2 linked regions of the Cricetulus griseus genome follow. The protein of the gene in region 1 purifies or fractionates together with the protein of each later gene. This does not show direct contact. Links are inferred from orthologs where the notes say so. Each region holds a gene or a part of one and is shown in the gene's direction. Other genes may lie near its edges. The genes, in order: Cep76 and Cep97.

What was found.
Region 2: the proteins of Cep76 (region 1) and Cep97 purify together in Homo sapiens (co-immunoprecipitation; 4 studies listed by BioGRID and IntAct, with this or other methods). This does not show direct contact. The link is inferred for Cricetulus griseus from reciprocal best matches to the Homo sapiens genes CEP76 and CEP97.

What each region holds. Positions count from the first base shown.
Region 1 is NC_048595.1:171,768,919-171,776,169, forward strand, and holds part of Cep76 (centrosomal protein of 76 kDa), read left to right. Parts: intron 1-33; coding exon 34-189; intron 190-2,279; coding exon 2,280-2,352; intron 2,353-3,283; coding exon 3,284-3,508; intron 3,509-6,115; coding exon 6,116-6,301; intron 6,302-7,251. UniProt on the Homo sapiens protein: Centrosomal protein involved in regulation of centriole duplication. Required to limit centriole duplication to once per cell cycle by preventing centriole reduplication.
Region 2 is NC_048597.1:36,121,660-36,129,392, forward strand, and holds the start of Cep97 (centrosomal protein of 97 kDa), read left to right. Parts: upstream 1-2,693; 5' UTR 2,694-2,804; coding exon 2,805-2,847; intron 2,848-2,904; exon of another isoform or gene 2,905-3,782; intron 3,783-6,437; coding exon 6,438-6,580; intron 6,581-7,733. UniProt on the Homo sapiens protein: Acts as a key negative regulator of ciliogenesis in collaboration with CCP110 by capping the mother centriole thereby preventing cilia formation. Required for recruitment of CCP110 to the centrosome.

The sequences.
Region 1 (7,251 bases):
TGTTGTAAATTTTAATGTGTGTCTTCTCCACAGATGGATGTCCATGGCAGAATAAGAGAAATTCTTGCCGAGACTATACGAGAAGAATTGGCACCTGACCAACAACATTTATCAACAGAAGATCTGATCAAAGCTCTTAGACGTCGAGGAATCATTGATGATGTAATGAAAGAACTTAATTTTGTGACTGTGAGTAATTTTCTAGGTAAACAAATTGAAAGTGTGAATATTTGCTTATGTCTAAATTTATAGGGTCCATACTTAGGGATCCTCTTTTGTAAATCCACTGTAAGTTCAGTCTGTCTAGTGATAGCCATTTTTCTTAGGGTTTTGTTTTTTTGTTTTTCGAGACAGGGTTTCTCTGTGTCCTGGCTCTGTAGACCAGACTTGTTTTATGTGTACGGTTGTGTTTTGCCTGCATGAGAGTTTGTGTACCACTTGCATGCTGGTTCCCTTGGTTTGGAAGGGTTTTGATCCCTTGTAAATGGAGTGAACCACCATCATGGTGTTGTGAATTGAACCCAGGTCCTCTGCAAGAGTAATAGGTGCTCTAAACCAGTGAGTCGCCTCTATAGCTCCTATAATATCCTTTCCTTGGGTCGATTTTGTTGTTGTTGCTTTTTTTTTTTTTTTTTCCAGGCAGGGTTTCTTTGACTTGCTCTGTAGGTCAGACGGGCCTTGAACTCAGAGATCCTGATCCTACCTGTCTGCCTTCTGAGTGCTGGGCTTAAAGGCATGTGCCACCACCTTGGCCGGGCTCCTTTTCTGTGGTTTTAAGTTGGCCCCACCATGAGTTAGCAGATAGTGCTGATGAGATGGGAGATATACACCATCTTTCTCTGAAGTGTCAGAAACCCCTCCTGTTATTCTGTAGAGTTGTCATTTAGTTAGGCCTATTTTTAAAAGCAAATACACTTAGAAAATTCCTTAAGAACTGACTTCGTAAACCCCTCAGATCTCTGTACAAATAGGTCAGTAGTGGGCTGTCTCCTGCCTGGTACACTCAGTAAGTAGGCCTTATATTGAAAATGAGGTGATAATGAAGAACTGTGACCTCAATACAGGAATACTCTATTAAAAATAGGATGGACTAGTACCCTAGAGACCTGAGTACTTTAATATGCTTTATCTTTTGGGTTTTGAGAGTTGTTATAAAAACTGACCTATTAACAGCCTCTGCTTCATGCATGTTACTTTTTATGTTTTTGTTTTGTTTTTCAAGACAGGGTTGCTCTGTAATTCTGACTGTCCTTGAGCTTTCGATGTAGACTAGGCTGGCTTTGATGTCAAGAGATTCTCCTGCTTCTGCCTTTCAAGTCCTGGCATTAAAGGTATGTGCCACCACTAGGTGGCCGAATGTTACTTTTTAAAAATCAGTTCATGGTGGAATGTTTTGTTGTTGTTTTTGAGATAGGGTCTCATTATATAGTTCTGACTGTCCTGGAACCCACTATGTAGACAAGGCTGGCATTGAACTCACAGAGATCTGCCTATCTCTACCTCTTTAGTTTGGGGAGTAAAGAAAGGCACATGCCACTATGCCCAGAAGCCAAATGTTATATAGGGTTTAAAGGAAGTTTAGCAATGTTTAAGGTATAGGTTTGCTTTTAAGGCCAGGCTTGGTGGTGCACACCTTTAGTTTCAGGATTTGGGAGGTGGACAGACAGATCTCTATGAGTTGGAGGCCAGTCTGGTCTGCATAGCAACCTCCAGGACGGCCAGGGCTATATAGAAAAACTCGTCTCAACAACAACAAAAACTTTTTAAAAAAAAATTGTGGATGGCAAGAATTAAAAACAGTTGAATCCCTTCATATTAGACTTTTACGAGTTCCATCTCTCATGAAGCTATGTATTTTCATTTTAATTAGGCTAGGAAAATAAAGCCTTTTTTTTTTTAAGATTTTATTTATTTATTTTGTATATGGTCTTCTGCCTGCATGCCAGCAGAGGGCACCAGATCTCATTCAAGGTGGTTGTGAGCCACCATGTGGTTGTTGGGAATTGAACTCAGGACCTCTGGAAGAACAGTCTGTGCTCTTAACGGCTGAGCCATTTCTCAAGTCCTAGAATTTTTCTCTTTCCCCCCTCCTCCCAGGCAGGGTTTCTCTGTGGCTTTGGAGGCTGTCCTGGAACTACCTCTTGTAGACCAGGCTGGTCTCGAACTCACAGAGATCCCCCTGCCTCTGCCTACTGAGTGCTGGGATTAAAGGTGTGGGCCACCATCACCCCCAGGCTGAATTTTTATTTTCTAATTTGTATTTTTCCCTACTTTTCTAGGACAGTGTTGATCAAGAACTCCCTTCTCCAAAGCAAATTGTTGCTTTTGATAAGCAGTCAACATTAAAAAAAAGTATGTATATACATATATATTTTTAACATAAACTTGGTTGTGATTGGTAATGGACATGTCATAGTGTTTGGCATTTGATAGAAATTCTTTTCAAAATGAAGTACTTAAAATTTGTCATTAGTTAACCTAAAACTTAGATGCAGTTTTGCGTGAAATATATGATATACTATATAGTACTGTTGGGCCAAAATTGGGAGCATTGTTTTCTTTTTCTTTTATTTTCTTTTATTTATTTATTATGTATACAGTCTTCTGCCTGCATGCAGGCAGGCGGCACCAGATCTCATTCAAGGCGGTTGTGAGCCACCATGTGGTTGCTGGGAATTGAACTTAGGACCTCTGGAAGAACAGTCAGTGCTCTTAACCGCTGAGTCATCTCTCCAGCCCGGGAGCATTGTTTTCTTATGTCTTAATGATAGATACATTTTATAAAAACTGGTGGTACAACACCTTTAATCCCAGTACTTGGGAGGCAGAGTTCAAGGTCAGTCTGGTCTACATATTGTGTTCCAGAACAGCCAGGAATACACAGAGAGACCCTGTCCTAAAAACAAAGAAAGAAAACTGTATGTGCTTGCTATTTTAATATAGTAAAATAATTAGATAAATATAGTTACTAAGTTGATAATGATCTGAGTTGGCTTGTGGAGGTGATAATATGCTTTACAAACAGCTAAAAATCAAAGTTACACCTAACCTTTGCATTGATTCTCTCAAACATAGTGAGACTGTGAATTCACTAAAGAATATCATATCATAGCTCTCTCCTTGCCATAACACAGATGATTCTGCAACATAGTAAATTGGGTGATTCATCTATTTATTTATTTGTTTATTTTAGTCAAAGTATTTCTATCAAGTCGTTTCTAATGTCTTGATCACATTTAATCAGTTATTTGGCAGTTTCCTCATATGTTGCTACACTTTGCAGCTAATATTGATCCAACACGAAGGTATCTTTACCTTCAGGTTTTGGGTGGAAAAGCTTTCTTGGAACATCTGCAAGAACCTGAGCCTTTACCAGGACAAGTTTGTTCAACTTTTACTTTATGTTTACATTATCGGAATCAACGTTTTCGCTCAAAACCTGTTCCATGTGCTTGTGAACCAGATTTCCATGACGGCTTTTTGCTTGAAGTTCACAGAGAAAGTTCAGGTAAGAATATGTAATGATACCTAATTAAGTTTGTTTGGTTTTTATTGAAGAACAACCGCCACAGCTTCTGCGATAGAGATTATAAACCCGGCCTAGTGGCTCAGCTTCTAATTCCAGCACTCAGGGAACAGAGGCAGTCAGATCTCTTGAGTTCCATAGTGAGAACTTGTGGGGTCGGGGAAGAGAGAGATTGATTACAGTAAATGAGTATCTCTAGTTTTCTTCTCCAGTGCTATTTTTTATTTAAATGAGTTCTTACCCACTTCTTTTTTTTATTTTAATTTTTTTAAAGATTTATTTATTTATTTATCATGTATATAACATTCTGCTTCCATGTATATCTGCACACCAGAAGAGGGCACCAGATCTCATAAGGGATAGTTGTGAGCCACTATGTGGTTGCTGGGAATTGAACTCAGGAACTCTGGAAGAGCAGTCAGTGCTCTTAACCTCTGAACCATCTCTCCAGCCCCCCTTACCTACTTCTTGCTTTACTAATTTTCTCTTATTTTTTGCTATGTTAATTGTTTTCTTTCTTTCTTTTTTTTTTAGTCAATTGTTTATATATATCATGTATACAGTCTTTTGTACCTTCAAGTACTGGAATTACAAGTACATGCCACCACACCTGGTTTTGTAATGTAACAGTCCAAGTTTGAATCTGGTTGTGGTGGTTCATGCTTATAATTCTATCACTTGGGAGATTTAAGCAGGAGGGATGAGCTAACGCCGGAGGATTTCAAGTTGGAGGCCAGCCTGGGCTACATAGGGAGGCCATGTCTCAACAACACAAAACACAAAATACACACACACACACACACACACACACACACACACACACACACACACACACACCTCAAAGTTTATATAATGTGGGGGGCGGTGGAGATGGCTCAGCGGTTAAGAGCACCGGCTGCTCTTCCAGAAGACCAGCATCAATCCCCAGCATCCACATGATAGCTCACAACTGTCTGTAACTCCAATTCCAGGGGATCTGACACCTTCATACAGATATACATGCAGGCAAAAACACCAGTGCACGTGAAATAAACGTAAGGAAAAAAGAAAAAGTTTATATAATGTATCAGTGTATTCGATATATTTTACTTACCAACCTAAAGCCATAAAACAAGCAGAATCGAAGAAGTCTGCCTAAATAATTTAGTGCCTTTAAAAGATGTCTTAAAGTTTTTAATTTTTTTCCTTTATTGAGCTAGGGTCTCAAATAGCACAGACTGTCCTTGAACTCAGCGTATAGCTGAGGGTGGCCTTAAGCTTCTGACTCTTCTGCCTCTTCTGCGTACACCCACTAGTGCTTGAGTTTTAGGTGTGTGCCAACATACATGGTTTATGTGATGCTGAGGTCACACCCAAGGCCTTGTCCATAATACACAAGCACTCTACAAACTGAGCTGCACCCTAGTCCTTTGTAATTTTATTTTTCTCCCTATAAAAATGTTTTTTGTTTGGGTTTTTGTTTTTGGGGATTTTTTTTTTTTTCAGGACAGTTTTTCTCTGTTCTAGAACTCACCCTGTAGACCTTTAACTTTTTTTGTATGGAGGCCTTCGTGGTGGGAGGCCAGTATGGTGGTACATGTCATTAATCCCAGCCTTTGGAAGGCAGAGGCAGGTAGATCCCTGAGTTCCAAGGACAGCCAGGACTACACAGAGAAACTCTGTATTGAAAAACCAAAAATACTTTGGTAATTTCTGGAGTTGAAGAATGAATGTAATTTGAGGATTAATATTTACATAGTGTTTTTTTTAAATATTATGTGTATGGGCATTGTTCCTGCATGTATGTATGTGTGTTTGTGCACAGTGTGCAGTGTCCACAGATGCTTGGAGAGGGTATGAGATCCCCTGGAACTGGAGTTACAGAGGGTTGTGAGCTGCCATGATGGTGCTGGGAATTGAATGCATATCCTCTACAAGAACAAGTGCTCTTAGCAACTGAGCCATCTGTCTAGCACCCTGGATTTTTAGGTTTCTCTTTTTGGTGTGTATGTGGAGTTTTGAGGTGGGTCTCACTATGTAGCTCTGACTAGCCTTGCACTCACAGACCCTCCCTCCTCTACTTCCAGAGTGCTTGGATTTAAGGTGTGTGCTAACTCATTTAGCTGATGGCCTTTTCTTTTGTAATAGTACATAATATAAGTTCTTTTGAAGATTAGACTTTTTATGGATCAGAAAGTACTGACTACTGTAAGTAACATAACTAAGTAACTTCTAAATAATTCATCTTATTCTGCTAGTCCTGGCAGTTGTCAGTCATAGAATGGGGTGATATTCTTCCCCCAGATTCTGGCATACTTTGAGAGACCTTACTAAATTATTTCCATCATATGTAAGCTTATTTAGAATACTTTTCAATAAAAGTGTGTGTGTGTGTGTGTGTGTGTGTGTGTGTGTGTGTGTGTGTGTGTGTATACACCCCAGTTCTCTTATATGTACACATATGTGCGTGTGGTGCTGGGTATGGAATCCAAGGCCTCGGGCATGCTAGGCAGTCACTACCACTTAGCTATATCCTCAGCTTGTAAAATGATTCTGTGTTACTAAGTAATACGTAATATAGTGTGTTTTTTCTTCGGTTTGTGTTGTTAGGTGATGGGACTAGAATGGCTGATTCAACAACAATGTTATCCATAAGTGATCCAATTCACATGGTGCTGATCAAAATAGACATATTTGGTGAGACTACTTTAGTGGCATCCTATTTTCTGGAATGGAGATCAGTTTTGGGCTCAGAAAATGGAGTGACCAATCTGACTGTGGAACTTATGGGTGTAGGTATGATGATTAATGTCACTTTCACCTTTTTATAAATACTGTTTGTTGGCAAATTTATTTTATATCAGTCAAAAGGGCTTTACAGGAGGGAGACTTGTAAAACAGGCTTTCATCAGAATTTCAGTGGTAAGTTGGCTTAGGGAATAGCTGGAAGAATAATGCCACCATAGTTCTTCAAAGTCAGTCTTTCTTATCCTGAGGAATTTTTTTTTTTTTTAAGATTTATTTATTTATTATGTATACAGTGTTCTGCCTGCATGTATGCCTACATGCCAGAAGAGGGCATCAGATCTCATTATAGATAGCTGTGAGCCACCATTGGGTTGCTGGGAATTGAACTCAGGACCTCTGGAAGTGTGCTTTTACTCTGAACCATCTCTCCAGCTCCAAAGAATGTTTTTTGTCTGCAAAATGAATGGAAATTCTGGAGGTTCAACATTTTGTTGTTGTTGTTGTTAAATATAAGGTTATAAAGAAAAGCAGGATTCTTTTAAACATATGAATAGGTGTATGCATAAGCTTCTTTCTGGTATGTCCTAGAGTACAGCACATCACCGTCGTCACCACACTGGTTCTTGGAGGGGGTGGGTTATGGGTTTTTTGTTTGTTTTGTTGGTTATGGCCAGAATCTCACAGTGTATTTTGGGATGTCCTTGAGTTCCCTCTACAGAACAGTTGGCCTGCCTCATGCTAGGATTATTGGCATGTACCACCGTGCCAGCTTCATACCAGTGGTTATTGACGAATGAGTAGATGTTCCTCTAGTTCGTTATTATGGATAGGTAAAATTTGAAAGAGTTGCTAACTTGGTCAGTGTCAGTAGCAATGAATAGTAAAGGACAGAGGTTGTACATTATCTTACCATTATTTCCTTGGATTTTGCATACTGCCTACTATGTAATATGTATTAGCTCATAAAAAGAGGAAAACAAAAACCCACTAATGTTTTA
Region 2 (7,733 bases), on another chromosome or scaffold:
TACCTTCACCCACTAACATTCCCGGGGCTCCTTTCTAAATAATGACTTTGTTCCATAGGAGAGATACAGAGCCCTTTCTTTACTCTCTCCTAGAACTATAGTCTCCACAATCCTCAGAGCCCAGAGTTGTCAGAAGTAAAGTGGGGATCCCTAAAATGACAAAAATAAAACACTTGTAGAGGACCCGAGTTTGGCTCACAACCTATATTGGTGGCTCACAACCACATTGGATGTCCTCTTCTGGCCTTCACAGACAGACAGACAGACAGACAGACACACACACACACACACACACACACACACACACACACGCACACACACCACACCAAAATAAATAAAATGTATTTTCAAAAGTAAACTGGGCTAGTTGATTATGAAGGGAAGTTTCCTTGATAATATTAGTGGGGGGTTCTTTGTTTTGGTCTTCTTTACTCAGAATTGGAAGTTTGAGGACAATTTTATTAGCATTTGAAAGAAAGAAGGGAAGCAACTATAAACAGTATGCAATGTTCTACTCTTTGGAGTAGAGTGCCAGATCTCCAATCAGGAGCAGAGGTATTCCATTCTTTTTGCCAAAATGAAATGTTTTTCTTCCAAAGGGTCTCAACAAAGCCCTGGCATCTTCGATGTCTCCTAAGACAACTGTAACAACCCCCCCCAATACTAAAATAATTTAAGAGATGAGATGAAATCGGGGAATAGATCCCATCCATTCCCACCATGCAAATCCAGAGGTCCAACTCCAGACTCGTTCACCAGCAGGGATAAATTGAACTGGAGCTTTGGTCATACTGTTAGGTGTAGGATGCTGTCAGGAAGGAATATGCTTATTTAAAGGAAGAGAGAACAAGAAACCAGTCCAGCTACCAGGACTTTCTTCTGACATCTCTACTTTTTTTTTTTTTTTTTTTTTTTTGTGTGTGTGTGTGTGTGTGAGATTTATTTATTTTGAGATAGGGTTTCTCTGTATAGTTTTGGAGCCTGTCATGGGACTCACTTTGTAGTCCAGGCTAGCCTCGAACTCACAGAGATCTGCCTGCCTCTCTCTCAGAGTGCTGGGTTTAAGGATCGGAGTTTAGCCACCTCCCGGCCTGGCTTCTCTACTGTTGATCCAGGACAGGAAACAAAAACATCATGGCTCTGGCCAAGGTCAAGAGAGGAAATGTTACTTTGGGGTGTGTGTTTGCTGGTGTCCTGCCCTAAAATGATGACTTGTTTCTGTTACTGGAAATTTTGGGAAGTCCTGTCAGAGCTGCCACATGATTTTGCTAGAGATTAAAAGAAAATCTGGGGCTGGAGAGATGGCTCAGCAGTTAAGAGCATTGACTGTTCTTCCAGAGGACCCGAGTTCAACTCTCAGCACCCACATGGCAGCTCACAACTGTCTGTAACTCCAAGATCAGACAAAACTGTAGGCAAAACAACAATGCACATAAAAAAATAAATTACTTAAAAAACAAGAAAATCTGTAGGGATAGAGAGATGACTTGGTGATTAAGATTACTTGCTCTTGAAGAGGATTGGGTTTGGGTTCCCAGCACCCACATGGTAGGTAGCTCACAGCTGCCTGAGATGCCAATTCATTTTTGAGCTAGAGTTTCTCTGTCATGTAGCTCTGGCTGCCCTGAAACTCACCAAGTAGATCAAGCTGACCTTCAACTCACAGATTTGCCTGCCCCTGTCGCCCTCCCCCTCGCCTGCCAGTGCTGGGATGAAAGGTTTGGGCTACCATGCCTGGCTTGCTTTGTATTTATACATGTAAAGTAATAAGACTGTTTTCCAAGAAAAGGGTCTCTTGGTTAAAAAGAAGGGGAATCCTTATTCTTTCTTCAGAATTAAATTATCTTTAGACTGAACCAATGGGAAACAGAAAAGTTCTTTAAGGGCAATGATGTCAACGAAAAAGGAATACAGGGAAGAGAAAATGCTTTTAGAATCATGAACCAGAAGTGCTGGAAGCCTGAGTTACTGGATTTTCCTCAACAGAAATGCCCAGACTTTGTACAGTGCCCTTTTGGCAAGCCTGGCAGTCAGTGTGTAGACAAGCTGGTGAAAAAAGGGAGAGCTCCCTTTGAGCTACGGAGCTACCTTTTAAATCCTAGCTTAACTTTCCCAAATATTGTAATTTCCACTACCTATCATACTGAGTTCATAGTTAAATCAAAACAGGATAAGCTTGTGCCCTTCTAACTGGGCAAAGTAAGTATTCTTAACTTTGGAAGCTATTTTAGACTACTTTTGAACACTCAAGAAAAAGTTCTGTGCACTTACGTATCAAATATAGTCCTTAGTCAAAAGCTCTGTTGAATGTGTAACAACTGTTTCTGAAGCTTTAAAACCATTTAGTTAGGTGAAATTTCAAATACAATGTGTCCATTTTGACTGTCTCAAAATATTTAGTCATTCCTATAGCGAATCTCAAATCTTTTAAACTTAACTCAGAATTGCCAAAATGGGTAGCTGTCATAGAGACTTCTAGCAAAGAGCTCTCAAATTGTTTACTTTAAATAACATCCTTATAATGTGCCAGGTGGTAAAAGTGTCAGATTTCTCAAACACCTGGCCCTGGAGTGAAAAGATTCATCTAACAATGCAGCTTGCTCACCTATCAAGGTCTCCTAAGCTCTTTTTTTTTTTTTTCTAAACTACACTCACTTTCTAGCCTGTGATTCCCATCAGGCAGCCGATTGGGCCGACTGAGTGCTGTGCATCCTGGGAGTTGTAGTTTGCAGTTTCCCACCTCTGACTACATAGTCTACAGAACGGCTGAGGACGGTTGCTGGTGTCATTAGCAAGCAGCAACTATGGCGGTAGCGCGAGCCGACGGGGCTCTGGCTCCGGGAGAAGGTAGGACGATTCCCATCCCTGAACTCCAAAGTTTACTTCACTAAATCATATTAAATAGTTGCTTAGTGTAAAGAGGAAGCCTGGGTTTCGAGGTGCAGTTTTGGACCAGTTCTTTTGATACGGGGCTGTAGGCAGCGCGGAGGCGCATTACCTACTGGGAGTTGTAGTCCCGCTCTCAGGTCCGGTTTGGCAGCATGCGGTGAAGGCGGCTGGATGAGGGACTTCAGCCCCCAGGAGCCTTCGCGGTGCCCGGCGCCCCCGTCCCGCGCTCTCCCTAGTCTGACTGGGCAGTGGGCTCCGGACTGCGGCGACCTTTCTGGGACGTTTACTTTGAGTTCCGAGTGCCCACGGGAAATTGGCAGAGTCTCTTTCTTTCCTCTGTCCCCTCCCCCATCGGTTCCGAGAACGTTCAGGAAGCATCTTATCTGATACCACCGCATCACAGTCTGCCTGAACTCTTCCTTGGAAGTGGCCAGTACCCGTGGTAGAATCTGGGGGTGACCGGGACACCCGTTGCTCCCCCGTCATTCTGCAGGCCGGGTCCCGGGGTCGAGTTTGGTCTTTGTTTAGCAGAGCGCAGGCGAGGGGTGCGCCTGTGGCTGGAAGATGCCTCCGTGGGGCGCCGGACCTGAGCTTTTGTTTTGGTTACACTCTGAGGCGTGGTAGCCGCTGGCTGGATTGGGGCAGACAGGGATAGAGTCGGGGCTCATAACCTGGGGACCCTGAATTTTTGAGGGGAGGAGTTCGGCTAAAAGATGTGTCGACCTTTCGGAACTGTGTGCAAACGCTGGGTGCGCTTTTCTGCGACAGCATAGTTTTCATCTTTCAAGAAGCGGCTCACGACATCTCCCGTGCTAAGAAAACTGAAAAAAACTTTGAAACCTTCTAGAAGAGAGTTCCGAAAAATTTATTTCCCAGGGTATCCTAGTCTGATGGTAAATTTGAAATTGGCAGTTACTCTGGCCCCGCCCACTATGGTCGCTGCCTTTCCTAAAACTCTCTAGCCCTCCAAGACAACAGACGAGAGCAGCCTCTAGTATTTACAGAGCAATTTTTTTTTACAGCATTTTTAAAAATTTGAATTAGAAACAAGATTGTTTTACATGTCAATCCCAGTTCCCTCTCCCTCCCCTCCTCCCCTACCACCCCTCCCCCAACTGAAACCCTACCTATCACATATCCTTTCTGCTCCCCAGGGAGGGTGAGGCCTTCCATAGGGTGTCACCAGAGTCTATCATATCCTTTGGGTTAGGGCCCTAGGCCCATCCCCGTGTGTCTTGGCTCAGGGAGTATCCCTCTATGTGGAATGGGCTCCCAAAGTCCATTCTTATGCTAGGGATAAGTACTGATCTACTACAGGAGGTCCCGTAGATTTCTGAGGTCTCCTCACTGAAACCCACTATCCCAGCTATCAGACTGGGGACCAAGAGCTCCCTGATGTTCAGGTCAGCTGTTTCTGTGGGTTTCACAAGCCTGGTCTGGACCCCTGTGCTCATCACAGAGCCACTTTTTAAAAGCCAGATGATATTTTGAGCACTTTTCTTATATTATCTCAAGTTTTCATGTAGAAAATATTTATATTGTATTCTCACATTTTTTTCCCTCAAGACAGGATCTCATTATGTAGTTGTGACTGGCCTAAAACTCACAGAAATCCTCCTGCCTTTGCCTCCCCAGTGCTAAAATTAAAGATGTGTATTACCACAAGTGGCTCAGCCTCATCCCCTGTCCCCTTTTATGTTTGAGACGATTTCTTTGTGTAGTCCCTGACTATCCTGGAACTGGATCTGTAGACTAGACTAGCTTCGAACTCACAGAGATGATTCTGCCTCTTGGAGTGCTGAGATTAAAGCCCTGCGCCACCACTGTATGACTTTTTTCTTTTTTCTTTTTTTTTTTTTTCAAGACAGGATCTCTCTGGCTGTCCTGGAACTCACTATATAGACCAGGTTTCTCTGCTTCCCAAGTGCTGAATTAAAGGCATGCACCACTATGGCTGGTTAATTGTCATCCACAATTCATAGAGTAGGAAAGTTAACTCAGCGATTTGCACCTATAGAGGAAAGACATTGGAGGACACAGTGAGGAGGTAGCCAGCCTCTAGGAGAAAGGGTCTCAGTTACCAAACTTGGCAACACCTTAATTTGGGGAGCTTTCCAACTGAAAAAATGAAGGAGAAAAAGAGAAGGAAACTTGTCCATAGTGGTTAACCACAGCTATAGTTGGAATTCATGCTGCTGTGCTTTATTGAGCATTGCCTGCCAGGTCTGAGGCTGTGTGTGAATTGTTTGGCTTCACACCAACCTTGAGAAATCAGAGAATCATTTTATTCTATAGTTTAGTTAACTATACTTTGATCTTCAAAATATTCAGAAGTGACTGGGGAGATAGTTTAGTTGGTGTAGTCCTTGCTGTGCGAGTGTGTGGACCCAGGTTCAATCCTCCAAACCCAAGGGAACTTTTGGCAGCAAGAGCTTGTAATCTTAGTCCGTGCTGAGAAAAAGATGGATACAGGCAGATCCTTGGGGCTTGCTGGCCAACCAGCCTACCCTATTTGATGAGTTCCAGGCCAGCAAGAGACCCTGCCTCAAAGTGAGGGCCACAGAGATGGCTCAGTGGGTTATAGTACTTGCTATGAAAGCACTAGGGCAGGAGTTGAAATCCCTATTGTCCCTCCAAAAAGCTCCCAATGCGTGCCTGTAATGCCATGGAGGCTTGCTGACTTCCAGTCTAGCTCTAGGCTTCCAGGTTCATTGAGAGAGTGTTCGTGAAGAGAATGAAAAAAGGGACAAAGCAGGACACCCAGCCTTTTTTCTTCAGGCCTCCCTGGGCATGCATGATGTGACCCCACCATACACACTACTTTAGGCACTTGATATACTTGTAGTTAGGCCACAAACAGTTTGATCTCTATAAAAAATCAGTTCTAGGGCCTTGTATGGTGATAGCTATAGTCCCGGTACTTGGGAGATGGAGGAAATATCAGGAGTTCAAATCCAGCGTCAGGCGCATAGTTTATGCTAGCCTGGTCAGCTTCAGACTCTGTCTCAACACAAAATAAAACAACAGCAAAAGAAAAACAATCCAAAAAAAAGAAAAAAATTGAAGGATAACAAAAGGGAAATAATATCCATGGGAAAAAAAAAAAAAGACAAAACTCAAAAAAGAAACTTAAGACCAGCCAGGCAGTGGTGGTGCATGCCTTTGATCCCAGCACTCAGGAGGCAGAGGTAGGCAGATCTCTGTGAGTTCTAAACCAGCCTGGTCTACAGAGCGAGTTCCAGGACAGTTTCCAAAGCTACACAGAGAAACCCTATCTCGAAAGACTAAACAAACAATCAAACATAAAAAGAAACTTAAGCCCAATTTTAAAAATACTATTATTAGATACAAAATAAGGGAACCTCAGGGCCTTGCATGCTAGGTAAGGGCTCTGCCTCTGAGCTAAATTTTGAGGAAAAAAATGTATCATCCCAGCTCTGAGTTGCTATAGTTTTAAACTCTTGCTGCTTACTGTGCTCTGGTGTATATATATATTTTTTTCTCAGCTGTCATTTTTGCTTTCTAATAAGTTGTCTTCTCTTCTCAAGGCTCAGTGGTGAACTGGTCAGGGCAGGGACTACAGAAACTAGGGCCCAACCTGCCCTGTGATGCTGATGTTCACACATTGATTCTGGATAAAAACCAGATTATTAAACTGGAAAATCTAGAGAAATGCAAACAGTTAATACAGGTGGGTATGGGTTATATAAGACTAATTTATTACTAAATGAAACCAAAAAGTTATTCTCCATGCTTTGAGAGTAGTAAATGTTGCCTTAAAGTTTTATATGCTAGTTTTTGAAGATGAATACATGTATTACATTTCCAGTGATCTAGAGAAAGAAGCATCATTAAGTAGTGGGAACAGGGCCAGCAAGGTGGCTCAGTAGGTGGGAGTGCTTGGGCAGAGGCCTGGAGACCCGAGTTTGATCTGTGTGTGCCACAAGCAGAAGGAGAGAACGGACTTCTGAGAGTATGCTGGTGACATTTGCATGTGTACTGTTGCTCAAGTGTGTCTGCAAGTGTGATTCTTGAACACACACACACACACACACACACACACACACACACACACACACACACACACGTGCTCACTCTGTAAATATTTAAATTTTTTTTGTTTTTGTTTTTGTTGTTGTTTTTTTTTCCAGACAGAGTCTTTCTGTGTAGCTTTGGAGCCTGCCCTGTAACTGCGCTATAGACCAGTGCTCTTGTTTATTTTACTTTTTATTTATGTGTATTTGTGTATATCTGTATAATATGTGCCATATATATATGAGTACAATTGGAGGCCAGAAGAGAGGGTATCAGATTTTCCTGAAGCTGGAGTTATATATCCGTGGTTGTGACTACCTTACTTGGGTGCTAGGAACTGAACTCTGATCCTCTGGAAGGACAGCAAGTGCTCTTAAGTGCCAAGCCATCTTTCTACTCCTGTAAATATTTATATTTAAAGAGAACATTATATGTTGATGAAATATTGTGTTAATCTAATCTTTCCTTCATATTGTGGGCAAAGAGCTTATTCATCCAAGAATGTTGGGGTTGGTATTGTAATTTAAGAAAAGCAGCACTGGAGAGAAAGATGCCATGAGACAGGGTTCAAGCCAAGGGGTTTTTTCATAAGGGAAAAGGATCATAAAAAGGGGAAAGGGGAGGAAGAAGAGAGAGAGAAAAGAGAGGGGGGATCAGACAGACAGAGAGAGGGAGAGAGAGAGAGAGCAGGATGGGAGGTAGACAGGGCCCTTTTAAAAGGGAACATAGTGAATAGGCACAAGTGGTGCTATTAGTGGCTGCAGCTGAGGATGTATCCTGTCAGAACCCCAAGGCCAGTACAGATGCCT